2 linked regions of the Arabidopsis thaliana genome follow. The protein of the gene in region 1 purifies or fractionates together with the protein of each later gene. This does not show direct contact. Each region holds a gene or a part of one and is shown on either strand. Other genes may lie near its edges. The genes, in order: Hsp81.4 and AT1G32880.

Region 1 (13,298 bases):
TTTAATATTAATTCAATGGATTTCTAGATTGCAAGCAAAACTAGTCATTTCATATGTGACTTGTAAGCAAAACTAGTCAAAACTGAGTGATGTCACCAGCCCTCCTAATGACGAGTTTTCCGAGATCAGCTCCACAAGAATCAACTTACATGATGACAAAAAGTGGATCTTCGATGAGACGCCATTAGAGAGAAGAGGAGATGATCTTACCAACAAGGGTATACGAAAGCAGAGCTTCGGGGGATGGTTGAGAAGCAGAGACATGAATAATGTTCTTCCAAAAAGAAGAAGAGGTGAGAAAAGGGAAAAAAAACCTAATTGAAGAATTAGCGATTTTCCCTCACCAAGAACCCTACATTAATACAAAAGGAAGTGACTTGCCAATCAAGTTTCCCATCCATTGTAGATGAGGGGAACATTGTGTTTGTAGTAAGGCAATGGAAGAATGACTCATTTATGCTTCAATGACTTCCATGTTCTTTCTTGAGGAGAAGGAAGACCATTCTTCTTGTTTTGCTACACAAGACTGAAATAAGAAACCTCTTCTAAAAGTTCTTCACGCTCCATGTAGACTATCTCTTTCTCCAAGGAGCGCTTTTCATTTAGAAAAAGCAACTTTTACTCTTCATCTTATCTTCGGCCATACTAGACGCAAACTCAACTTCAAGATCAAACAGTGCTTCTAAAGCCAACTCAACTCAATAGCCATACTTCATGCCGTCTCTTCAGCTTTTTTATCTTTCAAAGGAATATTTCATTAATATGATTTAGTTTTTATTTTATATACATCATTTTGACATATATATTTTTGAAAATTAATTTTATGCTTTAAACCACAAAAAAGTTTAAGTTTGGACCTTTCACATTTAGGTTTCAATTATTGTCTACATGTTTTCATAACTATATTCACACAAATAACTAAAATCTCCTCATAGAAAAAAGATTAATTGGTTTGAAAGAATAAAAAGAGTATAAAAGATTATTTTTCTATGGTTAAAAAATATGAGAGATTTGCCTTGGAAACGATAGTTAAAATTCAAAGAAACTAAGCTTGATATAACTACAAGTTTCGTACATAAAAATGTCGAAATTGTTAGATGTAATGAAGCCAACTTTAGCTTGAAGCCTCACCATGTAATGTTTTATCTCGCCGGAGAAAAAAAAATTCATTTATCGGTGAAATTAATTTATAAGACCAACTAAAACATCAAGCACATTAGATCTATTAATGATTGATTAATGTTAATGTGCTTTTAAAATTGAATAAAACACATGATCAATCATATTTTTAGCGTATAAAAAATAAATCATATAAACGAGATGGAAGACCATTCTTCTTGTTTTTCTTTACAAGACTGAAATAAGAAACTTCTTCTAAAAGTTCTTCACGCTCTATGTAGACTATCTCTTTCTCCAAGAAATATATACTACCAAACACTTTTCATTTTGAAAAAACAGTTTTTACTCTTCATCTTATCTTCAGCCATACTAGACACAAACTCAACTTCAAGATCAAATAATGCTTCTAAAAGCCAACTCAACCCAACAACCATACTTCACGCACTCTCTTCAGCTTTTTTCTCTTTCAATAAGAATATTTCATTAATATGATTTAGTTTTTATTTTTTATACATTATTTTTTACATGAATATTGTTTGAAAATCAATTTTATGCTTTAAACCACAAAAACTTTAAATTTGGACCTTTTACATTTGGGTTTCAATTATTGTCTACATGTTTTCATAACTATGCTCACACAAATAACTAAAATCTCCTCATAGGAAAAGATTAATTGGTTTGAAAGAATAAAAAGAGTATAAAAGATTATTTTTTATGGTTAAAAAAATATGAGAGATTTGCCTTGGAAACGATAGCTAAAATCCAAAGAAACTATGTTTGATTTAACTTCGAGCTTCGATCACAGAAATGTCGAAATTGTTAGATGTAATGAAGCTAACTTTAGTTTGAAGCATCACCATGTAATGTTTTATCTGGTCGGAGAGAATTTGTTTTTGTTTATCGGGGAAATTAATTTATAAGACCAACTAAAACATCAAGCTCATTCGATCTATTAATGATTGATTGATGTTAATGTGCTTTTAAAGTTGAATTAAACACATGATAATCATATTTTTAGCGATTTAAATATAAATCATATGTAAATAATTAATGAGAACTAATGATAATTGTTTTAAACAATTTATAGTCTTCAACATAAATATTAACTAAAAATGCTATTTAAAACAACTTTGTAGAAACTCTACAATAAAACAATTAATTCTCTTGTTTATTGTAAGGAAGAAAAATAATAGATTATAACTCTAAACTATATAAAATTAAAAAAAATTAGAAAAAACTACAAAAATTAGTATTTTAATTATTAAAATTCAAAAATAATTTCAACAAAATATCATGTAATAACATGTAAACTAGGTAAATACTTGTCTGTTGCACGGCAATATGCCATCACAGTTGTTTGTTATAGTTAATTTGGCTATTTCAAGCTATCATATATTAATATATTACGTAAGATGAGTATTTGTAAAGTTTTAAATTTATGGTTTATTTTGGAAAATTTTATCAACTGTGTATAGATAAACGTATACAACATTATATTATAATAGAATTCTATCATTACATATATTTTAATCATCTTATATATAGTTGTTTGTTACATATAGATAATTGTATATTTTCTATGGTACAGTATAATATAATTTGTATGTGTGTCAATCTTAGGTCCATGTGCCAAGAAATTGTTCTATATTATGTAACCAGGGGCGGAGGCAGTTATATAGGAGGGGGGTCAACTGACCCCCATGACATTTATAAAAAAACTTTTTTAAAGTTTATTCGATAAATCATTTGGCTTCAAATCTCTAATATGACCCCCATGCGTTGAGATGAAATCTCCTCTTTGCACCCTACGTCGTATTTTTTTTCTCTTTAATTCATTTAATGTTTTTACGATTTCATTATAATTACAAATTTTGTATCTGCATCTGATTCAATTAACCTGGAATTTGCATCTTTTTGCCAATTATTGTTTCAATTTTCTTATAATTATTTTATATATGGCTTTAAATTAAAAATAATATGGCTTAAGAAGCATAAATTAATCAATATACTAAAGAGATATTGAGAAAATAAGTTATATATATTTCATAAAAGTTTTTTTCTTACTATTATTTTTGATTAGTTTCAAAAATAGAAAACGATGAAAATGCTGAAGTTACATGTATATCTTTTACAAAAAAATAACTATATTATTTTCAAAACAACTATAATTAGTGGGGTTTATAGCAATAATGATATGTTTCTTAGCTTTCTTTTATTAAAAACATGTAATAGCAAAAATAATTTTTAAAAAGATCAGCAATAAAATTTATTTTAGTTAAATAAACACTAATATTGTTATATACTTACATTAATATATGACCACTGTATGTAACGGTTTTGTGTGAGATATGATTAGCGTAATTCTGGTTAGCAAAATATGGTCATAACTAAGTTATATGACCTGACAAAAAATCAGCTTGGATTTGCTAGAAACAGAGTTCCTTTCGCATAAAAAAATCTTTTTCATAAAACCGAGTTCAGAGAAAAAGCTTCAAGATAAGAAAGAAACTACAGCAGAAAAAAATTCTCAAAGATATGTAAAACGATAGAACCAAAACTCTTAACACCGCTAATATTAGTCGACTTTGTGCAATATTTAGTCGACTTCCTCCATCTTGCTACCTTCAGCATCAGCATCATCTTCAAGCGGAGGCATCTCAGCATCAGCTTCAACGGCATCATCCTCTTCAATGCTCAATCCAAGCTTCAACATCCTGTGGATTCTGCTTCCAAAAGTGTTGGGCTCATCAAGGCTGAAACCAGAGGTGAGAAGAGCGGTCTCAAAGAGAAGAAGCACAAGATCCTTCACAGACTTATCGTTCTTGTCCGCTTCAGCTCTCTTTCTCAGCTCATCCATGATCGAGTTCTCTGGGTTAATTTCCATTGTCTTCTTGCTTGACATGTAACCACCCGTGTTGCTATCCTTCAAAGCTTGAGCTTTCATGATCCTCTCCATGTTTGCAGTCCAGCCATACTCGCCTGTTACTAGACAGCAAGGTGAGTCCACCACACGGTCAGAGACGATAACCTTCTCGACCTTGTCTCCCAAAACGTCCTTAATCACTTTGCAGAGTCCCTCAAACTTCTCCTTGAGCTCTTCTTTCTTCTTCTTCTCGTCATCAGTCTCTTCCAGCTTCAGACCTTCCTTGGTTGCAGAGACAAGCTTCTTTCCCTCGAATTCCTTGAGCTGACCAATAGCATACTCATCAATAGCGTCAACCATGTAGAGGACTTCGTAACCCTTCTTCTTGAGCTTCTCTAGGAAGGGAGAGTTCTCCACGGCCTTTTTGCTCTCACCGGTGATGTAGAAGATCTCGTTCTGACCTTCCTTCATCCTTGTCACGTAGTCCTTGAGACTGGTCAATTCATCACCGCTCTTGGTTGAGTGGTAACGGAGCAACTCAGCAATCTTGGTTCTGTTTTGGGAGTCCTCGTGGATGCCGAGCTTCAGGTTTTTAGAGAAAGCCTCATAGAACTTGTTGTAGTCCTCCTTGTTCTCGGCAATCTCAAAGAAGAGCTCAAGACACTTCTTCACAAGGTTCTTGCGGATGACCTTGAGGATCTTGTTCTGCTGCAATGTTTCTCTTGAGATGTTGAGAGGAAGATCTTCAGAGTCAACGATACCCTTGACAAACCCAAGGTAATCAGGGATGATGTCTTCACAGTTGTCCATGATGAAGACACGACGGACATAGAGCTTGATGTTGTTGGGCTTCTTCTTAGTGTCAAAGAGATCGAAAGGAGCTCTCTTGGGAACAAAGAGGATAGCTTTGAACTCAAGCTGTCCTTCAACAGAGAAATGCTTCACAGCCAAATGCTCCTCCCAATCATTGCTCAAACTCTTGTAGAAAGCAGCGTACTCCTCCTTGTTGATCTCCTCTGGCTTCCTCATCCAGATAGGCTTCTGTTTGTTCACCAAATCCCACTCATGAGTAACCTCCTTAATCTTCTTCTTTTTCTTCTCCTCCTTTTCTTTCTCCTCATCAATTTCCTCAACCTTGCCTTCCTCATCCTTCTTCTCTTCCTCCTCTTCATCATCAGAGATCTCCTTCTCAATGGTCTTCTCAATCCAGAGAGAGATTGGGTAGCTGATGAACTCAGAGTGCTTCTTCACCAAATCCTTAAGCCTTCGCTCCTCAATGTACTCCATCTGGTCTTCCTTGAGGTAAAGGATCATCTTTGTTCCTCTACCAAGAGCCTCACCAGAGGTGTCTCTGGTCACCGTGAAAGATCCACCGGCCTGAGACTCCCACACATACTGCTCATCGTCGTTGTGCTTGGTAGTAACAACAACCTTGTCAGCAACCAAGTAAGCAGAGTAGAAACCAACACCAAATTGACCAATCATGCTAACATCAGCTCCAGCAGCCAATGCCTCCATGAACTCCTTGGTACCAGACCTTGCAATTGTTCCAAGGTTGTTCACCAAATCTGTACAATAGAACAAACACGAATCAGCAAACACAAATCAAACACATAGATAATGGTTTTGAATGAAATCAAGTACAACTTGCTTTTGAATGAAATCAATTACGTACCAGCCTTGGTCATCCCAATACCACTATCGATAATGGTCAAGGTGTTGTTAGTCTTGTCCGGAATGATATGAATGAAAAGCTCAGGCTGACCATCGAGCTTGCTCTTATCCGTCAAGGACTCGAACCTAATCTTGTCCAAAGCCTGTTTCACCAGAATAAAAAGCTCAATCATAAGTAACAAAATACACACAACATATATACAATCAAAAACTAAGTAATCTAACAAATTTGAACATGAAAAGGTTCCATCAATTAACAAACGAAAATCTCAAATCGAAAAGAACACTAAACCCTAATAAAACCTAAATCTACACATAGATCCGTCAAATCAATCGAAGGAGATACACAAACACATTAAGCTTAAAGATAAACATAGAAAGACAGAGAGGGAGAGATCGTACATCGGAGGAGTTACTGATGAGTTCACGGAGGAAGATCTCCTTGTTGGAGTAAAAGGTATTGATGATGAGGGAAAGCAACTGGTTGATCTCAGCTTGGAAAGCAAAGGTCTCTGCGTCCGCCATTATCGTTGATCGGGAAAAAAATCTAAGAATTAGGGTTTATGTGAATCAAAAAGCAAATTCTTAAGAGAAGCAGAGAAGTATTGATGGTTTGATTAAGGGGGAAAAGTGTGTAATATATAGGGGATGTGGAAACAGACGTCATAATATAATGGAAATTGTAAAATATAAAAATTGTCATAATATTTTACTTTCCTTTTTTTTGGAACAAGTGCTACTTACTTTTTTTTTTTTTTTTTTTGTTAAATTTTTCTATTAGCTAAACTAATCAATAAAAACAATGTTTTTCTCCATATACAAAATTCGATTTTGTTATGGATTTGAATTTACAAGTTCCCATTCATTCTAGTTTATCTATGTTTAGATTTTTTTAGATCGGTCCTAGTTTTGGGTTATTTTTTGAAATCGATAAAGTTAATCCCTTAGTTTCAAGATATCTCAAAATTTTATTTCAAATTTTAGTTATGTATTTAATTTATAACAACAAGATAAATAGTTGTGTTAAAAAAAAAAAAAAAGTTTTAATCAATTCTGAAGTTAAAAAAAAAAAATCAATTTTTTCTCCCCACAAACCCCACGCTTTTTAGAGAATATGTGTTTCTTTTTGTTATTGTTTTAATTTATTTATTTTACAACTTTCAATATTATTATTTAATTATTGATTTTTTTGAAACTTTATTAAAAGATACACATACCAATCTGTAAACAGGAAAAAAAAAGTTGTAAGCAAAAAATAAAATTATTGCTTTGTTTTTAAAATAGTAAATTATCATCAATAAAATAAAATAGTAAATTACAAAATTAACAAAAAAGGAAACTAAAACCTGTTACAAAAAAGTAGTAAATTACACCTGTTCTGCAAAATAAAAAGGGAGTAGAATTAAATCTGACTGTTTTTTATAAATAGTAAATTATCATCAACCAATAAAATAAAATAGTAAATTACAAAATTTAACCAAAAAAAAAAAGAAGTAAACTAAAACCTGTTACAAAAAGTAGTAAATTACACCTGTTCTCCAAAATAAAATAAAAGGGAATAAAATTTTAAAAAATTTAATAAAGTTTTGTATTTTTCTACCAAAAAATAGTTTTGTATTTTGTAATTTCCATTTAATTATATTGCAGATTATGTGGACCTGAAAAGCAAATTAACATAAATCAAATAGGAAGGATCTAGAAACCCTTATAGGTTCCCAGTCCCCACACCACTATATATAATAACATCCTTCCCCAAAGTCTCGTATCAATCAACACTTCTCTGCTCTCTAAAGAAAATTTTGCTCTCTTTATCTCTCGATTTGATTCATAAACCCTAGCTCTTAGATTTTTTTTCCGATCAACGAGAATGGCGGACGCAGAAACCTTTGCTTTCCAAGCTGAGATCAACCAGTTGCTCTCCCTCATCATCAATACCTTTTACTCTAACAAGGAGATCTTCCTTCGTGAACTCATCAGTAACTCTTCTGATGTACGATCTCTATCTCTCTACACCTTATTTTATACTTGTCTGTCTCGTTTGATTGATCTGGCTGTTCGATCTGTAGATTTAGGATTGATTAGGGTTTAGTGTTCTAGCCGATTTTAGAATTTTGGTTGGTAATTGAAGTTGCGAAGCTGTTTGTGTTCAAATCTGTTGATTAGTTTTAGTGTTGATACCAACGATTAAGCAGACTCTTGTTAGATTTACAAAGTTTGCTTATATGTAATTTGTATATACGTTCTGTGTATTGGTTGGTTACTTACGATTGTGATTTTACTCTGGTGAAAACAGGCTTTGGACAAGATTAGGTTTGAGTCCTTGACAGACAAGAGCAAGCTCGATGGTCAGCCAGAGCTCTTCATTCACATCATTCCCGACAAGACTAACAACACCTTGACGATTATCGATAGTGGTATTGGGATGACCAAGGCTGGTACGTAATTGATTTCAGTCAAAAGCAATTTGTATTGGTTTTCGTTGATTATTTATGTGTTTGGTGTGTTGGCTAATACGTTTTTGTTTTATTTTTCAGATCTGGTGAACAACCTTGGAACAATTGCAAGATCTGGAACCAAAGAATTCATGGAGGCGTTGGCTGCTGGAGCTGATGTTAGCATGATTGGACAGTTTGGTGTTGGTTTCTACTCTGCTTACTTGGTTGCTGACAAGGTTGTTGTTACTACCAAGCACAATGACGATGAGCAGTACGTGTGGGAGTCTCAGGCCGGTGGATCTTTCACCGTCACCAGAGACACCTCTGGTGAGGCTCTTGGTAGAGGAACTAAGATGGTCCTTTACCTCAAGGAAGACCAGATGGAGTACATTGAGGAGCGAAGGCTTAAGGATTTGGTGAAGAAGCACTCTGAGTTCATCAGCTACCCAATCTCTCTCTGGATTGAGAAGACCATTGAGAAGGAGATCTCTGATGATGAAGAGGAGGAAGAGAAGAAGGATGAGGAAGGCAAGGTTGAGGAAGTTGATGAGGAGAAAGAAAAGGAGGAGAAGAAAAAGAAGAAGATTAAGGAGGTTTCTCATGAGTGGGATTTGGTGAACAAGCAGAAACCGATTTGGATGAGGAAGCCAGAGGAGATCAACAAGGAGGAGTACGCTGCTTTCTACAAGAGTTTGAGCAATGACTGGGAAGAGCATTTGGCTGTGAAGCATTTCTCAGTTGAAGGACAGCTTGAGTTCAAAGCTATCCTCTTTGTTCCCAAGAGAGCTCCTTTTGATCTCTTTGACACTAAGAAGAAGCCCAACAACATCAAGCTCTATGTCCGTCGTGTCTTCATCATGGACAACTGTGAAGACATCATTCCTGAGTACCTTGGGTTTGTCAAGGGTATTGTTGACTCTGAAGATCTTCCTCTCAACATCTCAAGAGAAACATTGCAGCAGAACAAGATCCTCAAGGTCATCCGCAAGAACCTTGTGAAGAAGTGTCTTGAGCTCTTCTTTGAGATTGCTGAGAACAAGGAGGACTACAACAAGTTCTATGAGGCTTTCTCTAAGAACCTGAAGCTCGGTATCCATGAGGACTCCCAAAACAGAACCAAGATTGCTGAGTTGCTCCGTTACCACTCAACCAAGAGCGGTGATGAATTGACCAGTCTCAAGGACTACGTGACAAGGATGAAGGAAGGTCAGAACGATATCTTCTATATCACTGGTGAGAGCAAGAAGGCTGTTGAGAACTCTCCATTCCTTGAGAAGCTCAAGAAGAAGGGTATTGAAGTTCTCTACATGGTTGACGCTATCGATGAGTATGCTATTGGTCAGCTCAAGGAATTCGAAGGAAAGAAGCTTGTCTCTGCAACCAAGGAAGGTCTGAAACTGGATGAGACTGAAGACGAGAAGAAGAAGAAAGAAGAGCTCAAGGAGAAGTTTGAGGGACTCTGCAAAGTGATCAAGGACGTTTTGGGAGACAAGGTTGAGAAGGTTATCGTCTCTGACCGTGTTGTGGACTCACCCTGCTGTCTTGTAACAGGCGAGTATGGCTGGACTGCAAACATGGAGAGGATCATGAAAGCTCAAGCCTTGAGAGACAGCAGCATGGGTGGCTACATGTCGAGCAAGAAGACAATGGAGATTAACCCAGAGAACTCCATCATGGATGAGCTGAGAAAGAGAGCTGATGCAGACAAGAACGACAAGTCTGTGAAGGACCTTGTACTTCTTCTCTTTGAGACCGCTCTTCTCACTTCTGGTTTCAGCCTCGATGAGCCCAACACTTTCGGGAGCAGGATTCACAGGATGTTGAAGCTTGGATTGAGCATTGATGACGATGATGTTGTTGAAGCCGATGCTGACATGCCTCCACTTGAAGATGATGCCGATGCTGAAGGTAGCAAGATGGAGGAAGTTGACTAAATTATCACACACAGTCGACTTAATCATTAGGGGTGTTGAGACATTGGTTATCTTTTTATCTTTTTTTTTTATGTTTTCGTTTGAACTAATATTTTGGAACTATTTTCTGGAGTTTATTTCTTCTATCGCTTGTTTTCGTGAAGATTTTTTCTCTGAATTCGGTTTGATGACAAAGGTTCTCTTATGCACAATCTTGCAAATCCAAGCTTATTTTGGTTATGTAGCCTATAACTAAGTTATTAGTATGACTAATATGGCTAATAAAATACATGAAGCAGCTCCAAATCATATTGTTAAGCATCTCAGACAACACAGCTTACATATTCTTTACAATAATAAATAATTTATTGTTCGACATAATACTGTTGTTACTGTTTGACTTAGCGTTAATTTTCTGCACAAATGTTGTTACTACTTTGATTAAAAAGGATAATTTGTGTAACAATTTTTTGGTCAGTTTTAAAGGTTATTATTATTTTTTTAAATAACTTTTACGATTAGAATATGAGTAGTGCAACGCAAAATAACACTGCCGTTTAAGACGACGGTCCCTTGACAGAATCTTCATCAACGCTCGATTTGACGTCTGCCGATTTCCTTAGCTCCGACGTAAACCACTGATCGTCGGTATTCAGCTATATTTTGATTTCTCAGCTCCAAAAATTCCCAACGAAATGGAGAAAATGGCCAAAGGATGGTTTCCGATGAGCGGCACTAGTAGCAGCGGAGATCAGCAGCAGCAACCGCTGCAAACAGGAGGAACGTCTCTGCTAGCTGATTGGAATTCTTACGCAGCATCGAGAGATTTTGAAGAAGACACCGGAACTTTAGGCTTCGATATCGAATCCGCCGTTAGATCTGCCAACGACACTGTTTCCGGCACCTTTAATGTGTAATCCATCCATCTCTTTCTCTTAATCTTTAGGGGTTTAACGATTGATCGTGACCGTATCTGAGAAATTAGGCGTTTTCGCCTGCTATTGAGGATTGGATTGGTGTAAATTAAATCTGGAATCTGAGAAATTGTGATTAACCATATAGTTTAAGCTTTGCCAGATTCGTTGATCAGATTTACAAATTCTCAGGGTTTGAAGCTATTGTTAGTGAATGATTTTGATTAGTGTCTTCTCTCAATGACTTAGAATTGATTAAGAGTCTTAAGCATATCTTTTTCTTGAAGTGTTACTAACTTTTTGATTTTGAATTTTGTTGTACTCAAATCTGGATTGTTAACAGTGTTTCGAAAGGAGTTAGAGATAACCTGCAGTCTGCAACAAGTAGTATGCCTTCAGGAAAAGCTTTGATGTATTTCGGTTTACTTCTAGCAAGTGGTGTATTCTTCATCTTCATTGCCTTCACCATGTTTCTTCCAGTCATGGTGCTTATGCCACAGAAGTTTGCAATTTGTTTTACCCTTGGATGTGGATTTATCATCGGATCTTTCTTCGCTCTTCGTGGCCCGCAAAATCAACTCGCTCACATGTCATCGGCAGAGGTAATAACTAATAACAAAACCTTGTGTTGTGCAGCTTCTTATATCTGCTGTATTTCGTTTACATTTTTCTCTTTGGAATTTTAATTTCTTGTTTGCTGGCTTCTCCAGAGGCTTCCACTAACTTTAGGTTTCATTGCCACCATGGTTGGCACCATATATGTCTCGATGGTGCTCCATAGCTACATTCTCTCTGTGATTTTCTCTGCATTACAGGTACTTAAATTTCATCTTCCTTCCCGACTCTTGTTGGTGTTTATATCCTCTGTTTTTCATATGTTAAAATTTTCCTCTTCCCCATTTCACAAATCTTACCTATGAAGTTCTTTTTTACCCTGCATGTTTCATCTAGTAAGCTCTTGCCTCGTCGAAACATAATGTGTTTAGTAAAAAACATGTAGACTTTCTTATTGCTGTTTTAAAATACAAGTTGGGTTAGTATGAATTATGAAGAAGCCTTGAACGCCATATCTTTGGTTGGTCTCTTGGCTTGTTTTTGCAAATGCACTTACTTGCGACAGAAACAGCTTTGATATATTATTACTCACCCGTTATCGATATGGAATATATACTTTAAGAACTCACTAAATCATATCCTTCATGTCGGTTTAAAGATTAGTCACGTATCTGCACATTCTGTAAGTATAGTAATCTCATAAAAAACCTGGTCTCTGTTCTCTGTGAATCCATAGGTTATTGCACTGGCGTACTACTGTATATCATATTTCCCTGGTGGATCATCGGGAATGAAGTTCCTCAGTTCTACTCTTACCTCCTCTGTCTTCCGAATGTTTGGGAGATGAGCTTTCGCTTTGACCTATGCAAAGAAAATAACTTGATTCTCTCGTGTATAAAGAAAGATGAAAGATCTTCAACAGTGGTTAAATGACAAATCTGGTAAAATATGTTGGTCCAATGGCTCAAAGACAGTTTTGTTATAAATTTCCTATATTGATACTTTCTGCTAAATTGGTTCAAAACTTCAAATCACTAGCCACTGGATGAGGTATGGAACTTGAAGAGTTGCTTGGTGGATACATTCTCTAATCTAGGGTAAGTCGTTAGCTTCAATGTCTTACTGTGAATTATTACATCAGAATTAAGAAAGTTATTACACGTATGTTTTCACTGAGTTTACTACACTGGCAATGTGGCATACATCTCTTACTGCAAATTGCAGACAAGTGGTCAATCAAATCTTTTTTAGTTGGGCCCAAAATGTCTGTTATTGGATACGTTGGGCCTTAAAATGGCCCCCATCAGTCAAAAACATCACTGCTTGGAGAAGGATCTAGAAAAACTTGCAAGTTAGTTCAAACAAAATAAAGGAAAAAGAACGATCTAGAAGAAAGAAAAAAAAAGGAAAAGAAACCCTTATGGAGGTTCCCACACCACTCTATATATAATAACATCCTTCTCCTAAATCCCGCATCAGTACTTCTCTCTGCTCTCAAGATAATTTTGTTCTCTCAATTTCATTCTTAAACCCTAGTTCTTCGATTTTTTCCGATCTACGACAATGGCGGACGCTGAAACCTTTGCTTTCCAAGCTGAGATCAACCAGTTGCTTTCCCTCATCATCAATACCTTTTACTCTAACAAGGAGATCTTCCTCCGTGAACTCATCAGTAACTCTTCTGATGTACGATCTCTATCTCTCTCTACCTTATTGTATACTTGTGTATCTCGTTTGATTGATTTGGCGGATGGATCTGTAGATTTAGGTTTGGTTAGGGTTTAGTGTTCTTTCCGTTGGGAGAATTTTGGTTACTTACTGAAGT
Region 2 (11,264 bases), on another chromosome or scaffold:
GGATTTGAGGATCGAGAGAGAATGCGCGGTGGTGACGGAGATTTGATCGGAGAGACCGGCGGTGATTAAAGCAGAGTGAACTCCTTGCATCGCTGGGAGGAGATTGGTAGTGAGTGAAGAGTCGTTGAGAGCGAGGATTTCGTTACCGATAGTTATGCATGTGATGTTAGTCGCAGGTAAAAATGGAGTAACGTTTTGTTTGATCCATGTTAAGGCTTTTGAAGGATCTTTCATTTTGGAGAGGTATTCGTTGCCGAGTCCGATGATGAATTCGATTCCGGTGTTGGAGAAAGCTTTGAGGATTTGTGGATTTGCGTCGTAGAGTTTTACTTTTGTTGCTCCGATTGATTTTATTAGTGGGATTACGTCGGTTGGGGAGGGGAGGTTGTCTCCGATTTGACCGTAGTTTACTCCGATTGAAGTTGTTGTCGTCGGGAGAATGATCAATGTTAGTGAGATGAGGAATAAGAGAGAAGAGCGATGGAAGCTGGTAAGCTCCATTGGATTCCGGCGAGAATGCCGGTGGTGGAGATGATGGAGTTGAAGAGAAGAAGACAATTGCAGAGGTTTGAGTTTATTAACAGTGGAGGTGGTCGGAAGCTGAGGTAGTGTGAATGTGATATTGTGATTCGTTATTTTGCTTACTATTTTGGTTTTTTATTAAATCGTTTTGATTTCGGATATTTTTTGAGTCGGTTATTTAAGGAGGGAATCTCGATGTAGTTTTGTGTGTATATTATAAATTGTTTTTTAAAAAGAAGTAAACTACAAGAAAACTCAATTATCTTAATCTTACACAATTTAAGGTGATGGAGACAGGAGAGTACAGTTATAATTAAAGTTAAAACTGGAATTATGTTTCAATGTTCATGTGTCTAATTCATTCTCAACTTTCTATACTTATATGAATTTTTGAGTTTGTTATAAATTTGAGTTATTATTACTAGAAAAATGCATGCATATATATGTGAGAAAAACAATAGAAACGAATCTAGAGAGAAGTAAGGAAAAAGAAAAGGCAAGTAAACAAAAAACAAGTAGCTTTAGCTTCACATGAACGATTCATTCACTGCTTGCAAAGTTGAAAATCTATGGAAAATTTAATCTCTTTTTATATTTTACTTTTTGGGAAACTGACAAAGGTTGATGAATGTGCATTGTTTACAAAATCGACGGTTTTGATCGGCTCTGAACTTTCTCTCATCTGACTTTACGTGTCTTTTGCACCGGCATAGGTCGGCCTGCTCTATATTCATAATTGAATTTTTTCAACCAAGATATTTATATATTTTTTGTCGCAGGTAAGATATTTATTTGCTTACTAAATTAGATACTGTTTTAGAAAGAGATAGGTTTAGTTAATGATTTTATGTTATTACATTCGGATATTGAAAACGTTGGTCTATTTTGCAAAGAACATATTCTTCGATTATTAGCCTTCTTTGGTGTAGTTGTCGCCTTTACAACTTTACAGCTTTCACGTTCGGTTCAACTCAATTTTTTTTTTTGAATATAATATACTTTTTATAACGGTAAGTTTTCTCGGTACAAATTGTTTCTTGCGAAACTTTAAATATTTAGACAAGAGAAAAGCATTTTAAGTGCTATTTTAAAATTGAGTAATCTTTTATTTTCTCACCTTAATTTAATTTAAATTTTCAAATAAAAGTACAAGAGACCATCAGAGAATGAAGAAATTCTGGAAATTAAGACCAAAAGAAAATAAAAAATAAAGTCCAAATAAAAGAAGCCAAAACCCCACCAAAATAGCAAAAAAAACTTTACAATTTCTTTCACCATGGTGTTATCTAAATAAGTATTGAACGAAGAACAAATTCATTTTTGTTCAACCATAACATTAATCAAAAAACACATAATTTACGTAAAATAGTTTGTATACAACAATAAAACCCGATTGTAATCAACGTGGTGTTAGCTAGTGGTAAATTTTTCAGATGAAAGTATTGTGTTCGACGTACGTTGAAAATGATTTATTTTCTAAAAAAGATGAATTTAACTTAATATGGATTTCACTTCTAAAAAATATAAAATCTTCATTATTGAACTTCTAGATATTAAGAAAAATAAAAATAGAACATGATTGTAATACTATAAGTTTTGACAAACAGCTAATCTTCTCCATTTGCAATCAATTTGATAATGACACCTAAAATTTTCCAATCTCAATCCTTGATACCAGTAGAGCATATCAATCGTAATGGCACAAAGTACAAACCATTTCAATTTGAAAGAGAATTGCGCAAGAACATTAAAACACCTCTTAATATAGAACAAGGTAAACTCAATCTTTTTCACATCTGATGATGATGCTGCTTCATCTTTCTCTCCATCTCTAAAAAAATAAAATAAAAACATAACTATGTACTCTTTAAAAATATATATTATAATATATAATTGAAGAAAAGATACAACATAAATGGTAGATAGTCAAATCTTTCAAATATAATATAACACTAAACTCAAATAACACATCCAATGGGTTATTTTCTGTATATACAAGAGCTCAACAAAATTCTCAAATACTTCGGTTGTGTTCTAGTCATTTGGAGAAATCATGGACATCTAAAAAAAAACCCACAGTTTTTGTAGGCCGATGAATTTATTATTACTAAATAAAATATCACGCTTATTATAATCAAGTTTCTAATCTTACGTGTCGTTTAGAGTTAGGCATAATATTCGAATCCGAGTATCTGATCCGAATCTAAATTCAAAATTTCAAAATACATGAACAAATTCTATATTTCAAAATCCAAAAATCGAATTCGAACTGATATCGGAACATATCTACAATTTAAATACATAGTAATAATATATTATTAATATTTATATTTTTAATAATCAAGTGTCAAAACATGCGGATTTTTGAATGTTTAAAATATTTTAAATAGTTAATTATTTTTGAATAAATTTGGTTAAAAAAATGTTTTGGGTTTTTTATATATATATTCTTTATATTTTTGAGTAGTTTAAATATATTTAGTTATGAAATATTTGATTTTTGGAAATTTTGATGAATCCGAATTAGAAATTAAAACATTTAATCCGAACCCAAAATCTAAAATATATCCAAACAGATTTTCTATCTCAAATCCAAAATTCCGAAAATTTGGAATACCGATTTGAATCTAAATGGGTATCCGACCCGAAAAAACGACGTCTCTCGAAGCCAAACCTTCTACTTCTCCAGAAGGAAAAAGAAAATAACAATTAAATGAAATGAAAAGTAAAATAATTCCGCAAACAAAGATGCTACGTGTCGTCTCTGTAAGCCAAACCTTCTTCTCCAAGGAAAAAACACCAATTAAATTAAATGAAAAATAAAATATTTCCGCAGAATAAGACTCTTCTTCCATTTGGTACAGAAAAATCGAAACTTTTTAGGGTTTTTTTTTTTGTGATAACGAGAGAGAAAAAAGTGATGGACTTGTCGGTTGAGAACGGAGGTTTAGCTCCAGGTTTTAGGTTTCATCCGACGGACGAAGAACTTGTCGTCTATTATCTCAAAAGAAAGATCCGTCGGAAAAAACTCAGAGTCGAAGCAATCGGCGAGACTGATGTCTATAAGTTTGATCCTGAGGAATTACCTGGTACCCTTCATTTCAAATCTTCTCCTTACTCTTTAATTCATTTGATTTGCTTTCGTTTACCTCAAAATTGGAATGTTTTGCTCTGTTTTCAAGTTTCGATTTTTATCTGTTTCATTCATAGATTGCTCAATTTGAACAAGCATGATTGTTACATATGTATGTATGGTTGATTGATTTACACTCTAAAGGTTTTTTTTTTTTTAGCTTCTGACTTTAAAAATGGACTCTTTTTTTTTGTGTAGAGAAAGCGTTGTATAAGACTAGAGATCGTCAATGGTTCTTTTTCAGCTTAAGGGATAGGAAACATGGAAGTAGGTCAAGTAGAGCTACTGAACGTGGCTATTGGAAAGCAACAGGGAAGGATAGAGTCATTCATTGTGATTCGAGACCCGTTGGAGAGAAGAAGACTCTTGTTTTCCATAGAGGCAGGGCACCTAATGGCGAACGGACTAATTGGGTGATGCATGAGTATACATTGCACAAAGAGGAGCTCAAGAGGTGTGGTGGTGAAGATGTTAAGGATGCTTATGTTCTTTACAAGATTTATAAGAAAAGTGGGTCTGGTCCTAAGAATGGTGAGCAATATGGAGCTCCTTTTATTGAAGAAGAATGGGCTGAAGATGATGATGATGATGTTGATGAGCCTGCTAATCAGCTCGTTGTTTCGGCTAGTGTTGATAATAGTTTATGGGGGAAAGGGCTTAACCAATCTGAATTGGATGATAATGATATTGAAGAGCTGATGAGTCAGGTTAGAGATCAGTCTGGTCCAACATTGCAGCAGAATGGGGTGTCTGGACTGAACTCTCATGTAGACACGTATAATCTGGAGAACCTGGAGGAAGATATGTATTTGGAAATCAATGATCTTATGGAACCTGAACCTGAACCAACTTCTGTGGAAGTCATGGAGAATAACTGGAACGAGGATGGTTCTGGTCTCCTGAATGATGATGATTTCGTTGGTGCTGATTCATATTTCCTTGATTTGGGAGTGACAAATCCTCAGTTAGATTTTGTTAGTGGTGATTTGAAAAATGGGTTTGCACAAAGTCTTCAGGTGAATACTTCTTTAATGACTTACCAGGCCAATAATAACCAGTTCCAGCAGCAATCAGGGAAGAACCAAGCTAGTAACTGGCCACTCCGTAACAGCTATACCAGACAGATAAACAATGGATCATCGTGGGTGCAGGAGCTAAACAATGACGGACTTACCGTTACCCGGTTTGGTGAGGCGCCTGGTACAGGTACTTGAAAGCACTAACAGATTTTCCTGTAGATACCTCTTTTCACTCGCATACTAAATATTCTATCTAATTGTGAGGAAAGCGACTGGCTTCTTATCCTAATCATATTCCCTTGACAGGTGATTCATCTGAATTCCTAAACCCTGTTCCTTCTGGTATAAGTACAACTAATGAAGATGACCCGTCAAAAGACGAGTCTAGTAAGTTTGCTTCTAGTGTATGGACTTTCCTGGAATCCATTCCTGCAAAGCCAGCATATGCATCAGAGAATCCATTTGTGAAGCTGAACCTTGTTAGAATGTCAACCAGTGGTGGTCGTTTCAGGTTTACTTCTAAAAGCACAGGTAATAATGTTGTTGTTATGGATAGTGACTCAGCAGTGAAGAGGAACAAGTCTGGAGGAAACAACGATAAGAAGAAGAAGAAGAACAAAGGTTTCTTTTGCTTATCGATCATTGGGGCTTTATGTGCTTTGTTTTGGGTGATCATAGGAACAATGGGAGGTTCAGGGAGGCCTTTGTTATGGTGAGAACCGAAAAATCCAAGAGGTTAAGAGACATAAAGGCTTGGTTTTGTGTGAACCATTAGAGAGTCAAGTCATTGTAATTATTCTCTTGGATTATTAGATTCAGAAGCTGTTTAGTATCACAGTTTATGCTTGGAAGTTTTCTCTGGTATTGTTAAAAAAGTACCAATAGAAATAAGCAAAAGAATTTTCTTATCTTTTAGGATATTTGAACAAATGATGTTACTTAACTAGATTATTAACTTGGAGGTTGTTGTATATCCTCATCATCCTCTTCAAGCCAGTAAGTCTGCAGAATCTTCAAAGCCTTGTCGTAGATCTCGATGTTTTCGTGTCTTTGCAGGTTCAAAATCTTATCTAGCCCTTCCGCTTCGATCAGTCGAGTATACCAGCTCACGTCGTCTCCTGCGTTCTTTTCAGCCTCTCCAACCTTCAATGTGTTTTCCATTCCATCCAGACACTTTAAGATGGTTTTTACATCTGGACAAAACAGGATATCACATAAAGGTTTGATGCAGCTCTGCTCCACCATGTATCTGAATCACACCAATAAATGGAGATTGTGACTTTGATGATCATCTATAAGCATGTTAAGTTGAAAGTGCAAAAAGAAAGAAATAAGACAGGGACGTACTTGATTTGATCATGAGAACCAAGTAAGGTCGCATTTGAAATTGCGCATACAGATTCTTTCTTCATGTCAAATTCAGCATTCTGAGTCAGTTTGACCAAGGTTGGAATCAAATTTGCATCGATTACTGACTGTTATCACCAGGGGAAAACAGTTTAGTTTAGTGAGATAGCAAATAGACAAATTGTTTTATGTTGTGCACCTGAATCATTGTATATATATCAGAATCAAAGATTACACTGATCATCAATAAAAACATCAACTTGATGGGGGAAATTTTTCTTCTAACTTGAAGCTTAGGGAAACTTTCATCGAGAAGAAACTGAATGAGACGATGTACAGCTCCAGATCGTATCACTGTTTCGATAGGACCACGCATATCTTCTGCACATGTAATATAAGAAACATTACGCATATCTTCTGCACATGTAATATAAGAAACATTCGAGTGAATGAAGAATCTTTCAAATCGATCAAGAAAAAGAGTAAAAGAGAGATTTGATTTACTCTTCTTTTTTTTTTGAAAAAATGTTAAATTATATTCAAAAAAAAACAAAACGTTTTTACAACTCGTGCAACGTTTAGCAAAATGAGAAAAGCTGAGAAAAAAAATAGTTAGAAATTAAAGGTGTTTAGAGAATGTTTAGAGTGAGCTGTACGTTGCCCTTGTCATATCTTCGATCACCTGCTTATCTATCCAAGTTATCAAGTGTGACGTGGTGTTCGGTGTTTCTCCATGACGACGCCCATTCCTCTCTCTCCAAACTGTGTGTATTGTAGCTTGAAAGACATACCGGATTAAGAAACCATCGACTCGCTGTAATGACTTGTCTGAAACATAGGCCAGAATTTGTGGCCATTCCTTTGTGAATCTGGTCTTCCATAGCTTCTTAGCTACGTCACCCCAAATTGTCGAGACATAGTTGCAGGAGAAAAACAAATGATCACGAGTTTCCATAGTGTTAGTACAAAACACACAGAGACCCGATTCTCCTCTGTTCCATTTAACCATATGCTCCCCTGTTGAGAGCCTATCTTGGACCGCGAGCCAAGTACAAAACGAAAACTTTGGTGTGGCGTGATTGAACCAACCCCCGTTGTACCAGGGGACTGTGGGAGAAGGAGCTCTGATATGGTGCCACGTTTCTTTGGTAGAGAATGATGCATTGTACACATTATTTCGCCTTGTCTCTGTACTTTAGTATTTTTCTCCAAATCCAAGAGCCTGCATTTGTATTCTGCTTCAATGTCCAAAAATGCTTCCTCCTAAGAAGGTATGTGGTGACCCATTGAACCCATAAAGACTTGCTATTAGAAATGATTCGCCAGACCAACTTTAAACAACAAACATCATTAGCTTTTGTCAAGCTTCGCAAACCCAAACCCCCCTCTATTTTCGGCTTACAAACTTTTTCCCACGATATCTTTGCCTTCTTTGAACTCAGTTCTAAACCCGACCATAGGTAAGCGGAGCAAATCTTGTCAATCTCTCGGATACACTGTCTCGGTAAACGAAAAGCGCCTAGCCAGAAATTGCAAATACTCCAGAGGATAGATTGAATCAAGTTGAGCTACCTGCATATGAGAGGTAGCGTGAAGTCCACGACGCGATGCGTTTCCTAATCTGCTCAAGAAGAGGATCATAATCCTCAGCCATGAGTCTCTTAGTAACAAGAGGCAAACCTAAGTATCGAACTGGCAATTGACCTATATCAAAAGGGAAAAGAGCTGCAATCTCTGCTTTCACTAAAGGTGATACTCCTGCCATATACATTGTCGACTTCTCCATACTTATTTTTAACCCAGAGTACTTATAAAACTCATCAAAAACCTTCACTATACCCTATATGGATCTAACCTTACCATCCGTTAGAACCATCAAATCATCTGCAAAACTTAGATGAGTGAGCTTTAAACGTTGACAATGAGGATGGAAACCAAACTTGTGAGCTCCGGCAGCCTTATCCAACATCTTTGAGAGGACATCCATGCTTATGACAAACAGATATGGCGAGAGAGAGCAACCCTGACGTAAACCCCTTGCACTTTGGAAATAACCAGCGAGATCGCCATTTACTTGGACTGAAAAAGAGGCCGTAGTAATACACAGTTTTAACCAATGTATAAAAACCGCAGGAAAATTCATAGCCAATAAAACATTCAGCAGAAAAGCCAATTGGACCGAGTCAAACGCCTTCGAGATATCTATTTTAATAGCACAACGGGTAGAGACTTAATCTTTATAATAGTCCTTGACTAGTTCCGTAGCAAGTAACAGATTTTCGATGAGTAATCTGTCTTTTACAAACGCCGACTGATTTCCCGCAACAAACTCTGGCAGAAGCACTTTCAATCTGTTAGCAATGATCTTAGAAATTACCTTATAGATTACGTTGCAGCATGAAATAGGTCTATAATCCTTCATTTCCTTAGCTTCTAGCTTCTTTGGAATCAGAGCTAAAATAGTTGAGTTTATTCCTTTTGGAAGGAAACCTTTTAGAAAAAAAGATTGAACTGCCAAAATGAATTCAAGTCCTATGGTAGCCCATGTTGCCTTATAGAACTCTGTGGTATAACCATCTGGTCCCGGAGATTTGTCCTTCGGCATTGAAAACAGAACCCTCTGTATCTCCTCCGCAGACACCTCACGAGTAAGCAGCTCTTGATCAGATTCAGAACAACGAAAAGGTAGCAAGTTCTGAAGCTCACTAACATCGCAGCCTGCATAGTCCTCTGGGATAAAATGCAGAAATTCTCTAAAGAATCTCTCAGCCTCCACTTTTATCTCATCACCCTTTACAATGCTACCATCTGCACATTGAATTTCCTTGATCTGATTCATTTGTCTCCCTAGCTACCACAACTCGATGAAAAGTCTTGTTGTTCTTATCACCCACTTTCATCCAATGCAACTTTGATTTTTGTTTTAGATATTTTTCTTCTAGATCTGACACAAACTCCCATCGGTTATAAGCCGCATTCTCTGCTTCCATATTCTGCAATGAAGGGTTTTGATAAGTTTGCCTCTTGTTTCTTACACAAAACTTCATATGCTTCTTTTGATTTCTTCACTAGGTTACCAATTCTGTCTTTTGCGAGCAACTTTAACGCAGGCTTAAGACCCTTTAGCTTCTTGTTGAACCGGAAAAGAGTGGATGTAGACAAGAATAACGACTCAGTATTCTTCCAATAGTTATCTATCATTGGCTGGAACTCATGTAATTCTGCAAGGACATTAACGAACTTGAAAGGTTTTCGACCTTTCGCCTGACTCCCTTTTTCTCTTCTTAAGTTTATTCGTCCGCGCAAGTGATCCGAACAACCTCCAGCCTCAAATGTAGAATAGGATTGCGGGAAAGTTTGCAGCCAAACGTCATTTATTAACACCCGGTCCAGTTTTTTCATTATGAGATCATTTTCTCGCTTGTTACACCACGTAAAAAGTGGACCCTGCGAAGCCATATCAGTTATCGAACAATAGCTCACCGTTTGTTGAAAATCCTTCATACCTGCAGTGACCACAGGATAACTATCCGCAAGAGAGTGCTCTTCGATATCCAAAGTTTCATTGAAATCTCCAAAAATTATCCACGGTCGTTTCCGAATAATAGGTGAATCAGAATGGTCTTTCAGTTCCTGCCACAAAATCTTACGATCTTCTGCAGTGTTCATAGCGTACACAAAAGAACAAAAGAATTCTTCTTGATGGTTGTCAAGCTTAACCGAGCAGGTTACCAACTGAGCACTCTTATAAAAGGGACTAAGCCTTGTACTACTACGCCACATAACCCAAATGCGGCCTCTTGAATTGTGTTCATAATTTGTTATGATCGACCAATCCTTAAACAATTTACTCTGCAAACTTTCTGCTTTATGCTCCTTAACCCTTGTCTCTAAAAGACATCCAAACTGAAAAGGCGTTTCCTTCACCCACTTCTTTATTACAGAATGCTTTGATGACTTATTTAACCCTCTAACATTCCATGAGAACCCCGACATTAACAACGTTTAAGAGGGGGTTTCTTGGTCTGATCTTTAGGGGGACCCCTTGCTGAATGAGAAGAGTTATGTGGGATCGCTTTATGAGCAGTTTTAGATGCACGAGGTAAAGACGAACGCAAAAGGACCTCCTTATCTCCTCGAGTTAAGAGCTCCGTGTCCTCAACCTCCCTTGAAATCGTAATTCTTGTATCTGTCACAACCAAAGCAGGCTCCTGGTCTACCTTTTCCGCTACCTCCTCTGTTGCTTCTACTGCTCCCATAACTTCCTCTTCACCCAAGGCAGAGAACGAGTTAGAGAGGATAGAAACCTCACCGTACTTAAGACCCTCTGTTTTCCCCGGACTACGTCCTGTATTAGCCGGCGTGATCCAACCCTCATCCATCTTATTATTAATTCATACCGCTTCTATTTGTGCACCATCACTACTTTTTGCCGCTAGATCCTTTTCTTGAAGCTGCAAATCACACTCTACATGTGCAGGCTGTTCTGAAACAATTTGCAGACCTGGAGATGTGTCCATGTTTGTCACTACGTCATTAACTTTCAACAAATCCAGGGCTGAGGTATCCAGAGTGGACTTGTTCTCCGGAGAAAGACAAGTTTCACGTAGATGACCCCATTTTTTACAGCAGCCACACCTTGGTGGTAACCATGGGTAAGAGTACTTAATGACAGAGTCTAGCTCACCTTCCTCTTCTCCTGTAAAGTTGTACTCCTTTAGTAATTCTTTCGTTAAGTCAGCCTCTACCATAATCTGAGCTTCATCAAAACAGACGCACACATCTGTTTTAGGATGTAGACGGATTGGTTTACCAACTGCACTTGCTAGAAACTCCAACCCCTTGTCTGTAAACATCATTGGTGGGACATTGGTGAGAGTGACCCATAAAGGTATTGATTTCATCGCCGGCTGAGCCTCCTCTGCAAAAGGGGTCCACTTTGATACTATCATAGGGATATCCGTGATGTTCCACATTCCTCTATTCAAAATCCTCTGCCTCATACCTTCGTTTCTTATACGAAACTTCACTGTAGACTGATTAACTTCAAACACATCTATAAGTGAAGAACGGTCTCCCAATCTCCAAATCTTGTTCACAATCATATGGATTTTCCCCACGTGAGGGGCCTTAGTATTCAGAAACTTTCCAATCAAGAAATCTTCCCATAGAGGTTTTGCACCTGCAAACACATCCTTTGGAACTACTACCTTCTCCTTACCATCTATCTCTGATACCACAAA

The links.
Region 2: the proteins of Hsp81.4 (region 1) and AT1G32880 fractionate together in Arabidopsis thaliana (co-fractionation; one large-scale study listed by BioGRID). This does not show direct contact.

Annotation. Positions count from the first base shown.
Region 1 is NC_003076.8:22,673,887-22,687,184, forward strand, and holds Hsp81.4 (HEAT SHOCK PROTEIN 81.4), read right to left. Parts: upstream 6,267-13,298; 5' UTR 6,182-6,266; coding exon 6,059-6,181; intron 5,800-6,058; coding exon 5,658-5,799; intron 5,551-5,657; coding exon 3,716-5,550; 3' UTR 3,452-3,715; downstream 1-3,451. Other genes in the region: HSP81-3 (heat shock protein 81-3), read left to right, coding at 7,524-7,646, 7,950-8,091, 8,191-10,025; AT5G56020 (Got1/Sft2-like vescicle transport protein family), read left to right, coding at 10,700-10,917, 11,262-11,520, 11,629-11,733, 12,210-12,320; HSP81-2 (heat shock protein 81-2), read left to right, coding at 13,037-13,246. UniProt on the Arabidopsis thaliana protein: Molecular chaperone which stabilizes unfolding protein intermediates and functions as a folding molecular chaperone that assists the non-covalent folding of proteins in an ATP-dependent manner.
Region 2 is NC_003070.9:11,908,303-11,919,566, forward strand, and holds AT1G32880 (ARM repeat superfamily protein), read right to left. Parts: upstream 6,434-11,264; coding exon 6,308-6,433; intron 6,150-6,307; coding exon 6,022-6,149; intron 5,924-6,021; coding exon 5,626-5,923; downstream 1-5,625. Other genes in the region: AT1G32860 (Glycosyl hydrolase superfamily protein), read right to left, coding at 1-501; NAC13 (NAC domain protein 13), read left to right, coding at 3,335-3,611, 3,854-4,861, 4,981-5,390.